3 linked regions of the Oryctolagus cuniculus genome follow. The protein of the gene in region 1 purifies or fractionates together with the protein of each later gene. This does not show direct contact. Links are inferred from orthologs where the notes say so. Each region holds a gene or a part of one and is shown on either strand. Other genes may lie near its edges.

The links.
Region 2: the proteins of NPC1 (region 1) and SIGMAR1 purify together in Homo sapiens (affinity purification with mass spectrometry; 3 studies listed by BioGRID and IntAct, with this or other methods). This does not show direct contact. The link is inferred for Oryctolagus cuniculus from reciprocal best matches to the Homo sapiens genes NPC1 and SIGMAR1.
Region 3: the proteins of NPC1 (region 1) and PON2 purify together in Homo sapiens (affinity purification with mass spectrometry; 3 studies listed by BioGRID and IntAct, with this or other methods). This does not show direct contact. The link is inferred for Oryctolagus cuniculus from reciprocal best matches to the Homo sapiens genes NPC1 and PON2.

Annotation. Positions count from the first base shown.
Region 1 is NC_091441.1:54,241,457-54,244,616, forward strand, and holds the end of NPC1 (NPC intracellular cholesterol transporter 1), read left to right. Parts: intron 1-390; coding exon 391-504; intron 505-1,091; coding exon 1,092-1,254; intron 1,255-1,763; coding exon 1,764-1,814; coding exon of another isoform or gene 1,815-1,846; exon of another isoform or gene 1,847-1,903; coding exon 1,904-1,944; 3' UTR 1,945-2,375; coding exon of another isoform or gene 2,376-2,455; 3' UTR 2,456-2,575; downstream 2,576-3,160. Other genes in the region: RMC1 (regulator of MON1-CCZ1 complex), read right to left, coding at 2,376-2,455, 3,101-3,160. UniProt on the Homo sapiens protein: Intracellular cholesterol transporter which acts in concert with NPC2 and plays an important role in the egress of cholesterol from the endosomal/lysosomal compartment.
Region 2 is NC_091432.1:197,662,205-197,666,591, reverse strand, and holds the start of SIGMAR1 (sigma non-opioid intracellular receptor 1), read left to right. Parts: upstream 1-1,481; 5' UTR 1,482-1,627; coding exon 1,628-1,778; intron 1,779-1,905; coding exon 1,906-2,106; intron 2,107-2,243; coding exon 2,244-2,336; intron 2,337-3,822; coding exon of another isoform or gene 3,823-3,952; coding exon 3,953-4,182; 3' UTR 4,183-4,387. UniProt on the Homo sapiens protein: Functions in lipid transport from the endoplasmic reticulum and is involved in a wide array of cellular functions probably through regulation of the biogenesis of lipid microdomains at the plasma membrane.
Region 3 is NC_091447.1:40,771,010-40,774,655, forward strand, and holds part of PON2 (serum paraoxonase/arylesterase 2), read left to right. Parts: intron 1-3,428; coding exon 3,429-3,594; intron 3,595-3,646. UniProt on the Homo sapiens protein: Capable of hydrolyzing lactones and a number of aromatic carboxylic acid esters. Has antioxidant activity. Is not associated with high density lipoprotein.

The sequences.
Region 1 (3,160 bases):
GGCAGTGTGCAGCCTAAGGGCGTTCACTGTTGATCCAGAATATTGCCCTCCCCGGGGGCTGTCTGCCCAGTTCCCAGTGGCTAGGTGCTTTTTGATAGTTAAGTGACAATCTTGCAGCTGTGAGCATTCCAGAGGTGATAGGTGCACATCCAGCTGGGAGTCCCGTGGGGCCGGGGTGGGGACAGCCAGGAGCGACAACAGCGTGCAGGCTGCGCAGGGCCGGCTGTGGCTGGGAGGCTTTGGCACCTCCCCCACCAGATGCACACACGCCCTAGGACCCGGGGGCACAGGCCGTGCTGGGAGCGGGGGAGTGGGACTCCAGCACACATCGCAGGGGCGAGGGGCACCGCACCAGGCAAGAGCCCTGCTGAGGGAAGTGCTTTATTTCAGAGCTGTGGCATCTCCGTGGAGTTCTGCAGCCACATAACCAGAGCGTTCACAGTGAGTGCCAAAGGAAGCCGTGTGGCCCGCGCGGAGGAGGCGCTCGCTCACATGGGCAGCTCTGTGAGTATCCCGCAGGGCGCGCCCAGGGCTGGGACGACTCCTGAGGAGGAACTGAAGTTCGGAGACGTGCTTTAGAAAGCAGCTGCCAGCGAGGCCAAGTCCCTGGCAGTTCCTGGAGCAGCTGCACCTGGCACCGGTGTGTGTGACTTCTGTAGCAGGGAAACCGCGAGAAGTCAGATCTGCAGGAGCTGCACGCGGCACAGGCTCGAGCCCAGGGTGCAGTGTGGAGCTGACGTCTGCAGCGTCTCCCAGTTCAGCTCTGTCCCGGGTTAGCCTGGCCGCCAGCCCCTTCTCCTCTGTGGAACAGAACGTTAGGAAAAGCTAACACTTCTGTTTCCGAACGCTCCGTGTGCACCTGAGACAGACGTGTGTCTGCAGACAGGAGGCAGTGCCGCTGCAGAGCAAACAGCCTTGCACCCATTCATACCTGAGCCCGCTCAGCCTCGTAGAGGCACAGGTAGACTGCAGCCCCCCACCAGGGTGCCCGCGCCGCCGCCGCCTCCTTGAATATGAGAAATCCTGGCAGAGAAAGGGCTCAGTTCCGACAGACGGGTACCAGCGGGCTCTCACGCGCTCTTCTCTTTTAGGTATTCAGTGGAATCACACTTACAAAATTTGGAGGGATTGTGGTGTTGGCTTTTGCCAAATCTCAGATTTTCCAGATCTTTTACTTCAGGATGTATTTGGCCATGGTCCTGCTGGGCGCCACGCACGGGTTGATATTCCTCCCGGTCTTGCTCAGTTACATAGGTGAGCGTTCTTAGTCTTAACAGGGGCAGGAGGCGGGGAGCGTGTTACTAGGGGGAAAGCTACCCTAAGGCATCCTTCCGTGCTGGTGGGCATCTGACAAGGAACACGGGGTAAAAAAAATTCCGAGAGGCGAGAGGAGCAGTCTGCTGGCTGATGACCGGCCAGCTGGTGCAGTCTCGCTGCTCGCCCTGCCTGCGCAGGGGGTCCAGGGCACACCTTGAAGCAGTCTGCGGAGCAGCAGGCCCACGCCCGCCTCGCGGGAGCAGCGTGGGCCCTTGCTGCCCGCACGGTGGGACTGTCCTCGTCAGCGGACGACGTCTGTGGCCACTGCCACTAAGTGACCGCGGCTCCCAGAACACGGCTGCGGCCTTGATTTATGACTTGTGCTGGACTAGAAGGCTGAGAAGAGGGGCTTGCTTTCCTCTCTGGGGCAGAGAAACTGGCCCCGTGAGTCTCTGAGCTACACCTTGGCTCCCGCAGTGACTGAAGAGTATTCTTTTCCCCCACAGGCCCTTCAACAAATAAAGCCAAAAGTTGTGCCACTCAAGAGCGATACAAAGGTACTGAGCGAGAGCGACTCCTAAATTTCTAGGCCTCTGCCAGGGCCTGGTGACTGTGAACTGTGTCTAAGGGTCGGTCACTTTGCCAGGTTCCCCCCTGGACAAAGCTGCGCTGCCAAGGCCGAGCTGAACCCGGGATGTTCCCCAACACCAGGCCGCCGAGCAGCAGCAGCGGTGGCTGTAGAGGTTTAAACTCAGGAACGCACGGCTGGCTAGTGAAGCAGTGTTACGCAATCTGAAGGAAGGCAACCACCGGACACGGACGCCTCGCCCAGCGCCGCCCGGCAGCAAGCGGAGGGGACGCTGGATGGCTGTAAGCATGACCTGCTCGCTGTCACTGCGGAAGGCCAGGCGGTGCGCTGTCGCTCCTGTTTTTAGGAGTAAGCCATCACCCAAGTTCTAGACCATATTTTTAGTAGCATTTGAGAATGTTGTAGATACACTTTACTGTAACATTTTGTAGTTTAAAGAGCTTTATTAATGCAATAAATTAACTTTGTACACATTTATATATACATATATATATTAAAAAAAAAAAAAAGACCACACTACCAAGCGATTTCAGAAGGTTGTGGGCCTCATTAGAGCTTGCTCTCCAAACACCTGTTTGAAAAACGCAACGTGTTCTTCACAGTGTTCTCCTATAGAGAGAAGCAGAAGGCACCGCCCATTAGATATGGCACGAAAGCAGAGACTGCTCGTTCGGTGTGTACGCTAGGTCTTAACTTATTTTTCTTGAATAAAACACTTTGTTTTCCTAAGCCTGGATTGCCCCTTCTATCACAAAGCTGCTGCCTTCACAACCCCTGTTCCCGAGATGCGTGGGAAAGCCGGGTGCAGGAAGAGTAGGCCCACTGTGCGGCCGGGAGGCCGGGAGCTGCTCTGCACTGGCCCAGGGTCAGACTTGGGAGTGTGACTGAGGACTCCGCCCTCGCTGAGGGCACAGCACCGTTAGCCGGTCCTTCCTGCCTGCAGCTACAGCGCTCAGAAAAAGTGCAGGCCACGGAAACTCTCAGCCACCACCTGCTGTCGTGTTCCTGTTTCTTCCAAAGGGACGTTCCCAGGTGTTGGGCTGGGTCCAGCCTCCGGATCATTCCCACCCCAAACCACCTCCCAACGAGTTCCCGAGATAGAGTGATGCCTGCAGCCTGCAGCCCGCAGCGGTAGCTCCGCTGCGCCTCAGGGTTCCGGCCTGAATTCTAGGGAAAGCCAACTCGATGGCACTGCTTACTGAGGCTTCCTACTGCGAGTCTGCAGTTACCCGGGTAGGACTATGGTATTCCCACCTGGTGTGAAACTGGGGTTCCCTCGCAAACGCTGGTTTCGCTGTTCAAAGAAGCGGAATA
Region 2 (4,387 bases), on another chromosome or scaffold:
ATTTGGCACACAGAAATGCTTACAAAATATCTGTTGCCAGAGCCAGCACAGTAGCGCAGGTTAATCCTCCGCCTGCAGCGCCAGCATCCCATATGGGCGCCGGTTCTAGTCCCAGCTGCTCCTCTGCCCATCCAGCTCTCTGCTATGGCCTGGGATAGCAGTGGAAGATGGTCCAGGTGCCTGGGCCCCTGCACCCGCATGGGAAACCAGGAAGAAGCACCTGGCTCCTGGCTTCAGATGGGTGCAGCTCCAGCCATTGCGGCCATTTGGGGAGTGAACCAGCGGAAGGAAGACCTTTCTCTCTGTCTCTCTCTCTCACTGTCTGTAACTCTACCTGTCAAATAAATAAATAAAATTTTTTTAAAAATATATCTGTTGCCTGAATCAATGGCAGCTCCTAACCCTCTCTCCAGACCGGATCTGAGCTCCAGACCTGGATGCTCAGCTGCCCAGTAGACAAGAACAGGATGTCGGCCAAGAAAGAAGGAGCAAAGGAGGCGGAGGTGGGAAGTATCCCAGGAAGAAGAGCTGGAGCCCGGACAGTTACTCCCAGAGTGCTCCAGCTCTGAGAGCGCCTCTCTTATCGGGACCACAGTCATAGTATCCCTGGCTCTCCACTGGCTCCCCCGGGCAGCCCGGTGCCAATCTGTGCAAAATCCTCTCTCCTGGTTCCCCTGCTCTGCTTCAAAACAGACCGCATTCCACCTCTGCCCTTCAGGCCTTTGCTGCTGGAGTAGGTCACCTTGGGCTGGCACGCCCTCGTCGGCTCTCTTAAAAACGCTGCCAGGGACAGGCCTTTGGCAAAGGCCGCCTGCAGCGCCTCCATCCCTTACTGGAGTCCCTCGCTCCAGATTCCTGCTTCCTGCTAATGAGCACCCTGGGAAGCAGTGGAGAATGGCTTCAAGTGCTTGGGTACCTGCCACCCACGTGGGGAGACCCCCACAGAGATCCTGGGTGTGGCTGTTATGAGCATTTGGGGAGTGAACCAATGGACAGGGGGGCGTTTGCTCTCTCTCCCTCCTCCATCTCTCTCTGCCTTTCAAGTGGAAAAGAAAACAAAACACTGTTCAGACGTCACTGCCTCTGGACTGAGGCACTCCCCGACTGAACTGCCCCTTTGCAGCTCCTGGGCGAGCCCAGGCGGGCCTTAATAACCTCGGTCCCAGGAGGCAGCTCCTTCCCGCCCAAGCACGAGCCAAGGCCGACCTTAACAACCTGGTCTCAGAAGGCCCCACTTCCGGGCTCGCCTGCTTCGCCCGCCCCTGAGCCCAGGCGGGCCAGTCCATTGCGGGTCTCACCGCCACCCACCCTTCCCCCGAAGTCCAGCGGCCCTGGGTCGGACCCTGCGGGAGGACCCCACCGCCCGCGGCTGAGCGTCGCGGCCCCGCCCCCTCAGTGCAAGTGCGAGGCGCCGCCCCCCTGCTCCGCGCACCCCACGCGGAAATGGTTCAACCGAAGGGGCGGGGCTGGGTTGCCGCGGCCCTTAGGATTGGCCAGGGCGAGCCGTACCACGGTGGTGGCGGGGGGAGCGAGCCGTGAGCTGCCGGCGGCGGGCTCGGAGCTGTGAGTGTCCCAATCTGAGGCCCAGGTTCCGTGCCGCGCTGCGCTGTGCCAGGCCGCCGCCGGGATGCAGTGGGCCGTGGGCCGGCGGTGGGCGTGGGCTGCGCTGCTTCTGGTTGTCGTGGCGGTGCTGACCCAGATCCTCTGGCTCTGGCTGGGTACGCAGAACTTCGTCTTCCAGCGTGAAGAGATCGCGCAGCTGGCGCGGCAGTACGCGGGTAAGCGGGCACAGGGCGGGAGCGGGCAGCCGGCCCAGGATCGGAGCCAGGGATTCCAAGGACGCTGTCCCCAAACCTGGGACCCGAGCTGGCCCTGATACCGCCGCCGCTCCTCTGTTTCCGCCAGGGCTGGACCACGAGCTGGCATTTTCTCGGCTGATTGTCGAACTGCGGCGGCTGCACCCAGGACACGTGCTGCCCGACGAGGAGCTGCAGTGGGTGTTCGTGAACGCGGGCGGCTGGATGGGCGCCATGTGCCTTCTGCACGCCTCGCTGTCCGAGTACGTGCTGCTCTTCGGCACCGCCCTGGGCTCCCGCGGCCACTCGGGTCAGTGTTAGCGGTGGGCCGGACTGGGAGGCTGGGGCTGCGCAAGGGCCAGTGTACTCCTTTCTGATCTTGGGCTGAGCCATGTATGTGATGGTGCGGATGCCCTGATGGTTGGTGTCCATCTGTCTGTCACTCAGGGCGCTACTGGGCTGAGATCTCCGACACCATCATCTCTGGCACCTTCCACCAATGGAGAGAGGGCACCACAAAAAGCGAAGTCTTCTACCCAGGTGAGTAGGGAAGGTGAGTGCCCTCACACTGAAAGCGCCCACAGCTGGGAGAGCGAGCAATGGCGTTGAAGAGGGGGTGCTTTGAGGACCACTGCCCCACAAAGCCACAGGTGGTTGGTTGGCCAGAGCTGAGAGACCCTGTTGCTTTCCTCTGTTAACAGGAAGCAAAACATAACAACTTCCTGTTAATAAGTCTGATTTATTTTTGTCTATCTGGACACTTTTTAAAAAAAGATTTATTTATTTTATTTGAAAGAGTTACACACAGAGAGAAGGAGAGGCAGAGAGAGAGTCTTCCATCTGCTGGTTCACTCCCCAACTGGCCACAACAGCCAGGTCTGCGCTGATCCACAGCCAGGAGCCAGGAGCCTCCTCCCGGTCTCCCACGTGGGTGCAGGGGCCCAAGCACCTGGGCTGCCCTCCACTGCTTTCCCAGGCCATAGCAGAGAGCTGGATTGGAAGTGAAGCAGCCAGTACTCAAACCGGTGCCCATATGGGATGCCAGCACTGCAGGCGGCAGTTTTACCCGCCATGCCACAGTGCCGGCCCTGAACACTGTTTTATCCAGCCAATACCCCAACAAATGTTGGGGAGACAGCTGGGTAATTAGAAAAGCTCTCTCTCATACCTAAAAGACAAGACAATCATCTTCCTCTCCATTTCTTTTTTAAATAGTGAAACAACTTATATTAAAAGTAGAGCTTTGGATTTCCAAGCAGGTTTGAGGTGGAGGATGAGCATGGCCAGTATTGTGACTGAACAGCTCGGAAAGCCTCACAAGTCCTGTAACCGCGCGCTCCCTCTCTAACAAGTCCAGCCCAAGTTTAGCTAACTTTCTACTTGAATTGAATGAGGCTTGGGATTGCAGACTTCTTTAAAAAAAATAATTAACTTATTTTAAAAATATTTATTTATTTGAAAGGCATAGTTACAGAGAGGCAGAGAGTGAGAGGGAGAGGTCTTCCATCCAGTGGTTCACTCCTCAGTTGGCCACAAAGGCCAGAGCTGGACTGATCTGAAGCCAGGAGCTAGAAGCTTCTTCTGGGTCTCCTACCCTGCTCTCACCTGTGCAGGGGCCCAAGCACTTGGGCCATCTTCTACTGCCTTCCCAGGCCATAGCAGAGAGCTGGATCGGAAGTGGAGCAGCCGGGACTCGAACTGGTGCCCACATGGGATGCCAGCCTGCAGGCAGCAGCGTTACCCGCTCTGCCACAGCACCAGCCCAGGGATTGCAGACTTCAACGACTTGCATAGAAAGGCCTGTGGCCAGGTGAGGTGGCATCCCCTTGGAGATGCCACAGAAGAACATTTAGGAATGGCCATCTGGGCCCCTGACCCCTCTCATGGGACACCCGGCCAGCGAGGTAGAGCTTTTCCCTTTCTTGAAGCTCTCTCTCCATTCCTGATTCCTCACTGGTCCATGGGCCAGGGAAACTGCAGCAGTGGAAGGACTGGGCTCCTCACATGGGTATTCATTGTCCCCCAGGGGAGACGGTGGTGCATGGGCCTGGCGAAGCAACGGCTGTGGAGTGGGGGCCAAACACGTGGATGGTGGAGTACGGCCGCGGTGTCATCCCATCCACCCTGGCATTCGCACTGGCTGATACTGTCTTCAGCACTCAGGACTTCTTCACCCTCTTCTATACTCTTCGCTCCTACGCCCGGTGCCTCCGGCTCGAACTTACCACCTACCTCTTCGGCCAGGACGCTTGACCAGCCATGCCAGAAAGAAGACCTGTGGATGGACAGGAGCGGGCAGGCCCGCACACATCCACTTCCTGGAGCCCACGTGCAGATAGGGACATGCTTACAGCACGCAGGTGCTGAGTCCCTGCTGTACGGATAGGGACATACGTGCTTACATATCCAAACACGGACGTGTGGGAACAAGTGGGACATATACAGAGATACCAAGTCCTGTGCACACTGCAGGCTCATGCACTCACACCCATTCAGAGAGGGAGCCCCACATATACCAAGTGGGCTAGTCACGTTCAGATGCACCTGTCACAAGCTTGGCTCATGAACTCAGGCCTTTCCAGAGCGTGCCG
Region 3 (3,646 bases), on another chromosome or scaffold:
GAACTCACCTATTTCAAGATCCTCTGTGCCCCCAAAAAATTCTGAAGTGGGAAGGGTGAGGTCTCTATGAATGAGTCAGCTTTCCATCACTATAATACTGGACACAGATATTCATGAAAGAAGGGGGGTTATTTCACCTCATGGTTTTGGAAGATCAAGGTCCAAGATCAGGGAGGCACCACTGGTTCAGCCATCTGATGAGGCTGGAGGATGACAATGGAGTATGTGTGGCCAAATGATCCCATGGTGAGGCCAGAAGCAGAGCCAGAGAGAGCAGTTGGGCCTGATTCAGGCTGATACAGTGAGTCCTCTCTCAAGAGCTACCCTCTGAGGGCACTTCCCCCCGTGACTTAAGGATTTGCCACTAGGCCTCTCTCCTAAAAACCATAATTGAATCAGATCTCTGCCCTGCCACATTACCAAGTCATGACTTTGGGATGTAAATGTCTGCATGAATTCAGGAGCCAAATCATGTTCAAACTATAGTGGTCTCCAAGCACAAAATCTGCAATCATTTTCCCAGTGGGACATATTACAGTCACAGTGATCTTGCAGCCATGTCAACAGAATTTGTTTCTTTTTTCAATATTATCCTTTCTTGGTTATGTGACTTTGGGGGGGGGGATAAATTTAGAAAAATTCCTACTTTACCACTGTTATTTGTTTACTCAGCATTGTCTTGAACACTTCCCAAACTGCTCTCCCTTCTAAAGAAACAGTTCATATATCATGAGGGTCGTTTGATCTTCCTAGAATTTTGGCTCATCAAATGCTTCCTGTCCCATAGTTACAGGGTGAGGGTCACCTCAAAATTAACATTAGACTTGAAGAGAGATTGATAGAATATGAAAATTTAAACAGCAATGTGTGAGTGTACTTAACACTACTGAATTGCACACTTTAAAATGGTGAAGATGATGAGTTTCATGTTCTATCTGTTTTACTACAATCAATTTTAAAATGAGGAGAAATATTTAGATAGTAGGAAGATTTAACATAACCATGTCTAGTTATCACCATCTGGGATATCTTCCTGTGTATATTATTGTTTTGGGACTCTGATTATGAATAGAGATTATTAACAATAGAAGAGGCACTGCTATGTAGCAACAGCACAATTCCAGCTTATTCTGCTCACTAGGACTGCCAGCATTCAAATTATGCAATTATAGATAGGTTTTTTTAATTGGAGGAATTTCTGGTTATGTCCAATTTTGTGCATAAAGTGAGACTGTTTTGTTGTGCCCATTAAATGTATATAAACAATGACTGCATTGTATTAGAAAACTGAATAAGATAGTGCATTCAAGTAAAACTTACTTGAACTTGATTGATAGATCAATTGGCAGATAAAACATTTGATTGCTAGATAGATAGATAATATATTGGTTGACTAATTCAAAAGGCAAAAGATCTAGATCTCAGTGAGTTCCCAAATAGAAGTCAATACTCATTCCTAATTGAAACCTCTAAGCAGAGAAGGAACTTGCAACAAACACCATTCCTAGTGGTAAATTTGAGGTGCAGTCCTATTAATGTTCATAAACTTAGCAAATGCCTGGCAAAAACCATCAGTAATCTACTGGAGTTTAATAACCTAAAACGCAAGAAAAACTAAATGTGAGGCAGAGGAAAGAGACAAAACTGCCATTATTTTTAGATAATTTGCTCATCTGTTTTTGTAAACAAGCCAAGAAATTTAACTGCATAGATTAGAACTAACAGGAGAGTGCAGTGAAGTTAATGGATCAGAATGAACACATCAAACTCAGTGGCATCCCTCTGCACTAAGAAAAACCAAAATACAGTGTTCCATTCAGTATTCCCAATGAATGTCCTAGATATGAGGGAATCTTCAAAAAGTTCATGAAAGAGCATATTATGCAAAAACTGCATGGTTTTCAAATTCTTTTGGCATTAAAATAAACTTACCCTTTCATATATTTTTCCTTGAGTTTTTTGAAGTGCCCCTGCAGTAAGGGTAATAGAAAAAAAATCTGTACACCAGCGTTAAGGAGAACAGGGTAAGTGGGAATTTTGATCAGGGTTGGTCTCACTGAGACAGGGACGTTGGGAACAACTATAAAGAATTTGAGGGAGGGAGCCATAGATCTCAGAGGGAAAGCATTCCTGGGCAGAAAAGACTGTAAAAGCCCTGCGGCAAGACCATGTTCAGTTTGTTGAAGAACAACAAGGAATCCAGATGAGGAACAGTCACAGGCCATAGGGCAGAGGAATGGGGTGACTGGGATGTGGCAGGGGCAGGGGGAGTGTCGCTCCCCCTCTTCGTGGAGGAACGACACAGGACCCTGCGCTGTTCTTTCGTCTGCTCGGCCCTCCCCGGGTTTGCTGCTGGTTCTTCCCGGGTTGGCTACTATCCCTTCCACCTCCGTGGAAGGGCAGTTCCCCCTGGCCACATTCCCCACTTCCGCAGGGGAGCGGCACACCGCCGGCCGGCTTTCTCGGGGGCTGCACGGGTTCCCTTAGATGTTCCCCATAGATGTTCCTGGTGCACGCCGTCTCTCTCCTCCTTTATAGTCCTCCTCCGCCAATCCCAACTCGGCTGCCCACACGCCGAGTACGCTGCTCTCCAATCAGGAGCAAGTCCTACAGTTTATTAGTTGAACTGGAGGCAGCTGTGCGGAAGCTGTTTACTTCTCTCCCAACGCCATGTTGTGGGAGAGCAGATGCATAGAATAAGTCTTAATTCGAGTAACTTAGTCTAGTCCGGATTGCTCCCCACAGGGAGGGTGCAGAAAACGGTGGCTCTCATGTGGCTGTTAGGTCCTTGTAAAACATTTTCCTGGTAATCTGAAGGTGATGGAGGGTTTTGATCAGGGGTGTGATGTAATCTGACATCTGGATTCTGAGGCAAGACTGGACAGCATGCAAGAAAGGACAGAAGCGGAAAGGCCAGTGCAGAGACTGGTGTCAAATGACGGTGGTGACCTGGACCAGGGCAGCTGTGCAGGAAGTGGTGAGAACTGTTCACAGCCTTAGGAAGGGATGTATGGTCCAGGAAAAGTCAGCAGGCTTTGCTGATAGATTGGATATGAGGGTGCAGTAAGAAGGGAGTGCTGACTGACATCATTGACCGAGACTTGTAGCACTGTGGAAACAGCACGCAGGCCTGGGCCTCAAGATTTCCACAGTCCACGCGTGAACTTAGGTGTCCCCACCCTCAGCTCTGCCGGGAATGTCCCAGCCCCTCACACTCCCTAACCTGAACCCTTGATCTTCTGTTTCCGCCCAACAAAATCAGTTATTACTCAGCGTTCAGCCTTCTAGCTCTGTTTTTCCTATTGTCTTCTTTCTGCTTTGTGTCGGGGGCTTTGCGCCATCATCCTTATCATTCATGTATAGTGTCCACTTTAGGCTATAAAAATACGTAAGCCTTTATACCTGTCTTTTTTCACTGTTTTGGAAAGGGTCTGAAGTGTCCAGGACTCCACAGCTTTGCACCAGATAAGCCTGGAGGAATACTAATGATGGATCTCAAAGAAGAAAGACCGAGGGCACTGGAGTTAAGAATCAGCCGTGGGTTTGACTTGGCTTCATTCAATCCACACGGCATCAGCACTTTCATAGATGATGGTATGAACCAAAGAGCTACCAACATTGGGAAACGTATAATGACTCCCACATG